2 linked regions of the Sus scrofa genome follow. The protein of the gene in region 1 purifies or fractionates together with the protein of each later gene. This does not show direct contact. Links are inferred from orthologs where the notes say so. Each region holds a gene or a part of one and is shown on either strand. Other genes may lie near its edges.

Region 1 (3,748 bases):
CTCTGGAAGGTGATTGTGATTCTCTGGAAGTCAGGAGAAACATGATGAAACTTCAGTGGTTTCGTGAGATTGTGTAATTCACCAAGATACCTAGTGGCTATTCAGGGAACCACATGAAATGCAGGAAAAACTCCTGCTGTCATCCTGCCAGGATCATACCACACACCATGTGATAAGGAAGTAGAGACACAGGAAAACACTGGGGCATACCCATGATTTTATTCTCCAATGAAACAGGGCTAAGAAGACTAACTGTAAAACACCCACGATGCAAATTATAGGTGCCTTGGCATTTTGAAAGGAAGGGGGGGAAAACTCCCAGAACCTAGAAACTCTTTAAGCCAAAATGCCACAGAAATATTTTACCGTTTGACTAATACGTATTCATGCCAGGTGGCACATAGCAGCCTCCCAAATGAAAAGTCTGACCTTTTAGGAAAGATAAAACAGCATCTTCCCCAGTGAATGTGCATAAGCAGTTTGTTGCAGGAATGTTTCTTATGTCAGATGTTGAGCCCACAGGCTCTCCATTTGTGCTAGAACTCTTAGGAGATAGCCAGGCTCAGGAACTCACCAGCTTGCAAACCGCTCTGCAGGGCAATGATTTTCTGTTGTTGCTGATCAATTAGGTTCGTTAGTGCTTTCACATGCTTCAAGGTAAGTTCAAGAACCACTGCTTTTTCCAAGTGACCCAAAGTCTGGAATAAAAAGAGCCTCAGTCAGCAGGGAGCTCAGAGAAGTCCCACCTCTGGGACCCTTATTAGCAATGAGAGATGTCTCTAAAGGGAAAAAAAAACAAAAACAACCTTTCCTGGTTGGCTAAATTTCATTTTAAGTTTATAGATGTTTAAAATATATATATATATAATTATTAAAAAAAAACTAGTTAAAAAACAACAAATGAGTGTCACCCATCTTTGGAGGCATTTTGGAAGCAGCAGCTACCTCAGGAGAAAGCTCTGACAGATAAATTTTTCCAGCAGCCTCTGCTGACCTTAACTCAGGGGAATCCGAAGATTACATTTCTCTGCAGTGGTGTCAACCCGAGGAAGGACTTCTACTGTGTCTGGCAGCCAAGAGGCTTTCCCTAGTTTCTTTCCTGACACCCTGTCATAACTTCCAGTTCATCTAAGTTTTTTCTTCCCCCTAAATACTTCTTTTTTTTTCCCTTTCCCCAACCAAAGGCTGTCAAGCTAGTAAGCTGTTGACCATTGCCAAGAAAGGACAGGATGTTTAAAAAAAAAAAAAAATCACACACCCAAACAAGTCCTCTCATTTTAAAAAGAGATGGGGAGGAAAGAGGTTAAGAAAAATTGCAGGTTGCTTGGTTTGCTCAAGTTAGGAAATCAAGAGAACCTTGAAAATCACCAGAACGGTGAGCCTTAAACTCTTGCAAAGGAAGGCCAGCCGGTGTTGGTGCCAACTGGAGAAATACAAACGGTTTTCACCTTATTTGCATGAGGCTGCCAGAAAATTCTGAGGACTGGGGAAGTGTACCCCAAATAGCCACCCAGCAGCTCGAATCCAGCCGTCTGGCCTGCAGTTCCCGGCGGGACCTGCAGGCGGCGAGTGACCCCCGACCGCCCTCTGGGCAAAGGAGCTGGTTTGGAGAAGGGCCAGCTTCTCACTTACTGTAAGTTTGAGATGTTCGGGGAGGAGATCCTTCAGCTGGGCGATGCACTCGTTAATCCGGTCACGTCTCTTTTTCTCGATGAGCCGGTGCGGCAGTTTGTAAGTCTCCTGCAAGGCGCACGGGGAAATGGTGGGCTCCGGAGGAGGAGGATGAGAAGCCCTTTTCCTCCCTTACCCCGCGGCGCGAGAAGAGTAGGGGCAAATGAACAGAGTCACACCCAGAACTACCTTCTTCTCCAAGCCATCCAGGCACGGACCCCGCACCTTGCATACCCCCTCCAACCTCAAAGTGAGAAAAGTTTTCTTGGGAACTCAGTGCGTGCTAGGGGCTGGGGTCCCCAGGGGTCCGGGGCCCTTACCTTGCTGTCCTCGCTCCGCTTTATTCCCCGCCTCGACTTGTACACTTGATACATGTGGGCAAAATCCATCCTGCAGGGAGAGGGACGAAGAAGGGTCGTGACTTTGCCTGCGCACCCGCTGCAGGAACCCTGGCGGGCATGAACCCGCATATGCGCCCAGAGCGATTCCGAGTTGAAAGTCGCTCAGAACGCAGGACTGGAGTTGAGGCTTGAAGGGGCCGGGGGTGTCAACTTACCCTGGTAGGTCTCCAGGCTCCAGTCCTGGTGCTTTGGGCAGGCAAGCGGGGGGCGGCTGCGCGCTGGGTATCCGCTCCATGGCGCGGCGAGCCGGGGCCACTGTGCGCTCCTGTCTGCAGTGGCAGAGAGTCCGGTGAGGACTGTCCTGGAGAGGTTTCGAGGGGTCTCTCCTCAGGAGTTCCTCTGAGTCTGAGCTCCCTGAAATCCTCCGGCTGCCCGGAGCTTCGGCTTTGAGGTGTTGCTTCAGTTGGGGGCGTGCATGGTGTCCCCGCGGCTTCTGGCTCAGGCTCTGCGCACAGACTGGCGATGTGTGCTCCCTGCGCCGTCTGCGCTGTGCGAGCCAAGTGAATGAGAAGTGGGGCGGGCGGGGAGGCGGGAGGGAGCGGGGGGGGGGCGGTTAGGGTGGAGTGGGGGGGTGGGGGGAGAACGAGCCGAGGAGTAATGGAGAGGCTGCGGGCTGGGTTAAATGGGAGCGAGTGGGTGGGTTGGAGCTACGTGTTCTACCCTGTGACTCCAGGCACGTCTGGCCGCTGCCGGGGAGGGAAGGAGCGACCTGCCCGCCCTCCCCCGGCTTCATCACATGAGTCTCACGTGTTGGACAACGCTCCCGCGGCTGCGAGGGAGCCCCCACCCCCAGCTCCGGCCCCCAGGTGTCTGCGGCTGCCTTTCCCCGAAGAGGGGGTGGCAGCGCGGCCTGGGTCCTGCCCAGCCGGGTGGGGGGCGCGGAAGCTGGAAGGGCCCGGGGAGCCGGGGGGGGGGGGCAGGGAGGGGAGGTTGGTAACGTGGGCGAACCTGCCCCAGGGAAATGAAGTAAGTTCCCGTCTCCTGGGAGGGAAGGGGGAGGACGGATCCGCCCGCCTCTGACTCAAGCCGGGAGAGGAATATCCCCTCGCTCGCTCCAGCCCAACCCGTTTCCTCCTCCCCCCGCGCGGTCCGCTCGGAGGAACCAGCGCTCAGCCGAGGGAGTCGCCCGGCCCCCCTGCCTTCCCCAGGGGCTGGGGTTTCTTTCGGTGCCGGCTTCCCTGCCCCCACCCTCCAGCCCAGAGTCCAGGAATCGCCCGACGTGGGGAGGGGCCGAGGGGCGGGGCGGATGTCACCCCATGGGAAGCGGGCTGGCAGCCAAGCGCAGGGGCAGCCGAGGCCGCCGCCGAGCACGCTCTGCGCACCTGATCCGAGAGGCTGCGTGCGGCGGGCCCCTGGCTCCCCCGGAGTTCCGCTCCCGGGCACAGCCTGAGCGCTGGCGGGCACCCACTTGCCCACCCCCCAGGGTGCTCCAGAGTACCCCCCCCCCGCGCGCCTTGGACTAGTCAAGCACAGAAAGATACCCGGCGCGGAGCCCTGCGTTCCCTCCCTTCTCTGCCCCCACCGGAGCGGAGGCGCTCGGGTCGCCTCCCCTCGGGCTGCAACGTTACACAACCGTGGCGGCGGCGCCTGCCCTGCAGCAGCGCGGGGCGTGACACTTCACGTGGCCGGAGCTCGGGCCGCAGCGTCCCCGACTTCGAGCCCCTCTGCCCAGACCG
Region 2 (3,648 bases), on another chromosome or scaffold:
AAATCCTTAAGATACACAACTTGGAAATCTGTGCTAGTTGTTTGGGGGCAGGAATGAGCCTGCAGCCACAGTCACCAGCTAATTGGCCCCAGACTTCGAGATGACTATAAAGCTTCTGACACTCAATCTGTTAGAAAAATTTAAAATTTAAGAAATACACGCATATATGTATTTTTGCCTGCACCCATGGCATGAAGAAGTTCCCAGGCCAGGGATCGAATCTGAGCCACAGCAATGACAATGCCGAATCCTTAACCAATAGGCCATGAGGGAACTCCACAATCTGATATATTTAATTAATAACTGCAGCACTGGTGGTCCCAAGAGGCAGCCCTCAGGTCTTAGAACAGATAGAGGCCAAGAAACTTCTCTAACAGATGACTCAGTACTATGGATCTGAGCTTGACGACTCTGGATCTTGGTTTTTACCACACAGGTCAAGGCCTAAGATTACCTAGACCCTAAATCTAAGGCCCCATTTCTGTGTCTTAAATGAGGGTAGGTATCAAGAATGGCCACCCCAATATATATATAGGTTTCGCAGCAGAGGGCAGGACCCTTGAATAGCTTGAGACTGCTGTGTGAGGATATATTTTGCTTTGACCACTCTACTTCTGTACGTTTACTTTGGTTTTACTAACACATTTTATTTCTTTTTCCAGTTTAACCCCCTCTTTCAGGAAATCATTTTTTCCCTTATCCTAGAAATGATGTTAGCTTCTATTAACTTTCAGCTTCCTTGAGGCACTCCATAAGCATCAATAAATGTTAAATGTTGATAACTCTAAGAACTGAGTCTGCTATGCCTTTAAGTCAAAAGACAAGAAAAAGAAATGGCCTTTTCTATTTACAGAGGATAACTTGGAAGGTAAACTTTTAACTTCAGAGAATCTAACAATGCAGTTAACTGCTTTTTTTTTTTTTTTCTATTTTTTTAAAGTTACTTTTGATGCATTATGTTTGCTAAACCCTTTAGCTCAAGGCAAAATTCCTAACAGAGGTTTCCAGCAGTGCTGCTGGTACCCAGAACTCAAGCTACACTGGACTCCAGCAGCATAATGGCTGTGTCATCAAATTACTAATGCCTCTGGAAATTGAAGCCCCCTCCCTGAGTGAAGCCTGCAATTAAAAACTGCAGGGACAGCAGGGGAGGGGCTGGCAAAGAGAGAGTACTGCTCACCTGTACACATTTTAAAGGAGATAATGCGTGCCTGCACTATAGCTATAACCACCTGAAAGGAAGGCTCCATTCCACTCATGTCATTCCCCTGTGAGGTGGTTTTTGTAAGAAATGCAAGGTTTACCACGTTTCTATAAGAGATGATTCCCCCAAATTAAAACAGAATATATAGTTTCTTAAATGTGCAGAAATGTAAACTTATCATAACCATTCCTAAATCAAGTTTTCTAGTTCTAGATTAACACAACTATGGAGGGAGCTGATGGTTTATTCTTTAGTTATAAAGTTTTCGAACTATGTTCATGCACATATATACAAAATTACTAAGACAGAATAGAGTACACCTGACATTTCAGAGTTCTAAAGATTATTGAAATTTTCTACCTGACTGTGGAATCCGACGATCCAGTTATGATCACCCTCTCATCATACTGGAGACACAGGACAGAACCTGTGTGGCCTGTGAGAATTCGCTTGCATTCCAATGTGCTTTTATCCCAGATCTAGGATGGCAAACAAGATCCTTTTGATCACTATGATAATGGGGTGCTGCAGAGACTTGCTGGCTCTATTTTGTGTTTGAGTCCCCAAAAGAATCAAAGCCCAGAGTAGTGTGGAATGCATTCTTCTCTATAGGTATAGCGAAGCACCTATATATATGTGGCTTCAGTACTAATGCAGACTTGATCCTTTTCATTAAGGAAACAGGGGTAGCCTATAATTATGTGAGGGCCAAAAGACTAATAGCCCATTCAGGGCACTTCAAGAAGAGAATTTAACCTTAGCACTACCCATTTGCATGTGTTTCTGTGGGTAAGCAGGTACTTTTCCTTAAAGGAAACGATTTTTGGCTTTGGGACTCTCACTTACTTTCTGGAAATACTGCTTAGAGTTTATGCTTTGGATTGCTTTAGGGATTGTAGTCCCCCTCACCCCTTCAGCCACCTTCCCATAACTGAAGAGACCTCACCTTGATTGTGTTGTCTCGAAGGCCACTTACTATCTTCTGATCATCATACTGTAAACAGTAGACTCCTTTGCTCGTTTCACTTCGGCAGTGGATTCTCTGTAAGCTATGTCTTCCACATCGCCAATTAGATTCTATCGTCTGAGAGGAAGGAATGGGTAAAGAAGCTGTAATTAGTTTTAGGGAACTAAACTCTCATCTGAATTTCATGGCAACCTATGACAAATGCTCAGTGCTCTACTCTACTGGATACACAGAACTTAACACATACTAAAAATGTAAAAACTTTCTTATTTTTAAAAATCTTTGGCCATGCCCACGGCATGTGGCAGTTCCTGGGCTAGGGATCGAACCTGAGCCACAGCAGTGACCCAAGCCACTGCAATGACAACACCAGATCCTTAACCTGCTGCACCGCAAGAGAACTCCCTAAAGATATTTTTAAAAAGCCACTATTTAAAGTTGTAAAATATTTTGCCACTTGCTATGACTCATATGAGGTTACCTGCTCAGTGCTCATCTTACATTTGTGGTAGCCATTTCTACCAGTGAGCTTCCACAGAGGCTCAATTCAGAAGATATTTGAATGACAGCTTATAAGTGCAACTTCAACAGTTTTAAAGCTATTATCATACTCTCTTTCATGTATTTATCAGTGAATAACTTAAAAGCTTTAAAATTTTGCTTGGCAATTTACTATATTTTATCTTCCCTATTCACTTGTGAAGAAACTGATTTTTAACCCACATCAATAAACCTTAATGGGTTTGCTATAACACTGCTGTTACTGAAGAATGTTGATGATTCTCTAGTATTTGGCAAATGCCCAAATATACATATATTCTTACCTCAATGTCTTGTATAATTTTAGGATAAAGTGCTCTATAAAAAGAGTTGGGAGGAGCATTCCCATCAGGAGGTTTGTTTTTGAATAAATACTGTCCCCTAAAAAACAAATATTTCCCAATAAAAATCATATTATACATTTACAAGGAACTTCATATTTCTTTAAAGTGTTTTCACAGTTACCATTCCATATAATCTGTAGTTATAATCTCCAGAGAGGTATGAAGTTAAGCTTGATGTCAGGAGTCCCACATCAGGAGGAACTCTCTGGGCTCAAATGATTTGTTTTTGGATAAAACATGATGATTTCCAATGCGGAACATCAGAGTGTCAGGTCTTCGGAAACATTATGTCAATAGACAAATGGAATGCTTATGGTCAGAATTCACCTACTGGTCTAATAAGATCTCTGTAATTGGCCTTATCTTTGAAAATTTTGTTAGTGATGATACTACCATCTTTGAACTAGGAACATGCCCCACAGCCTTTTTTCCACTGAGTAAAGCTGTGCCAGTGTCAGTTGGAGCCAGCATCATGGGCAGCAGGAATGCCTCTGCCACAAAGATCACATTTTCTAGTCTTTGTTTATGTAGGGTAAAGTGTGTTGGCAGTTCAGGCACCCGGGCTGCTGATCAGTGTAGCTATGCTTTAAAAG

What was found. The genes of interacting proteins can lie anywhere in the genome.
Region 2: the proteins of BHLHE40 (region 1) and BTRC purify together in Homo sapiens (affinity purification with mass spectrometry; 3 studies listed by BioGRID and IntAct, counting the BioPlex papers as one, with this or other methods). This does not show direct contact. The link is inferred for Sus scrofa from reciprocal best matches to the Homo sapiens genes BHLHE40 and BTRC.

Annotation. Positions count from the first base shown.
Region 1 is NC_010455.5:61,526,837-61,530,584, reverse strand, and holds the start of BHLHE40 (class E basic helix-loop-helix protein 40), read right to left. Parts: upstream 2,574-3,748; 5' UTR 2,308-2,573; coding exon 2,228-2,307; exon of another isoform or gene 2,068-2,227; intron 2,062-2,067; coding exon 1,992-2,061; intron 1,922-1,991; exon of another isoform or gene 1,747-1,921; intron 1,741-1,746; coding exon 1,633-1,740; intron 699-1,632; coding exon 575-698; intron 1-574. UniProt on the Homo sapiens protein: Transcriptional repressor involved in the regulation of the circadian rhythm by negatively regulating the activity of the clock genes and clock-controlled genes.
Region 2 is NC_010456.5:112,562,701-112,566,348, reverse strand, and holds part of BTRC (F-box/WD repeat-containing protein 1A), read right to left. Parts: intron 3,093-3,648; coding exon 2,996-3,092; intron 2,289-2,995; coding exon 2,151-2,288; intron 1,684-2,150; coding exon 1,565-1,683; intron 1-1,564. UniProt on the Homo sapiens protein: Substrate recognition component of a SCF (SKP1-CUL1-F-box protein) E3 ubiquitin-protein ligase complex which mediates the ubiquitination and subsequent proteasomal degradation of target proteins. Recognizes and binds to phosphorylated target proteins.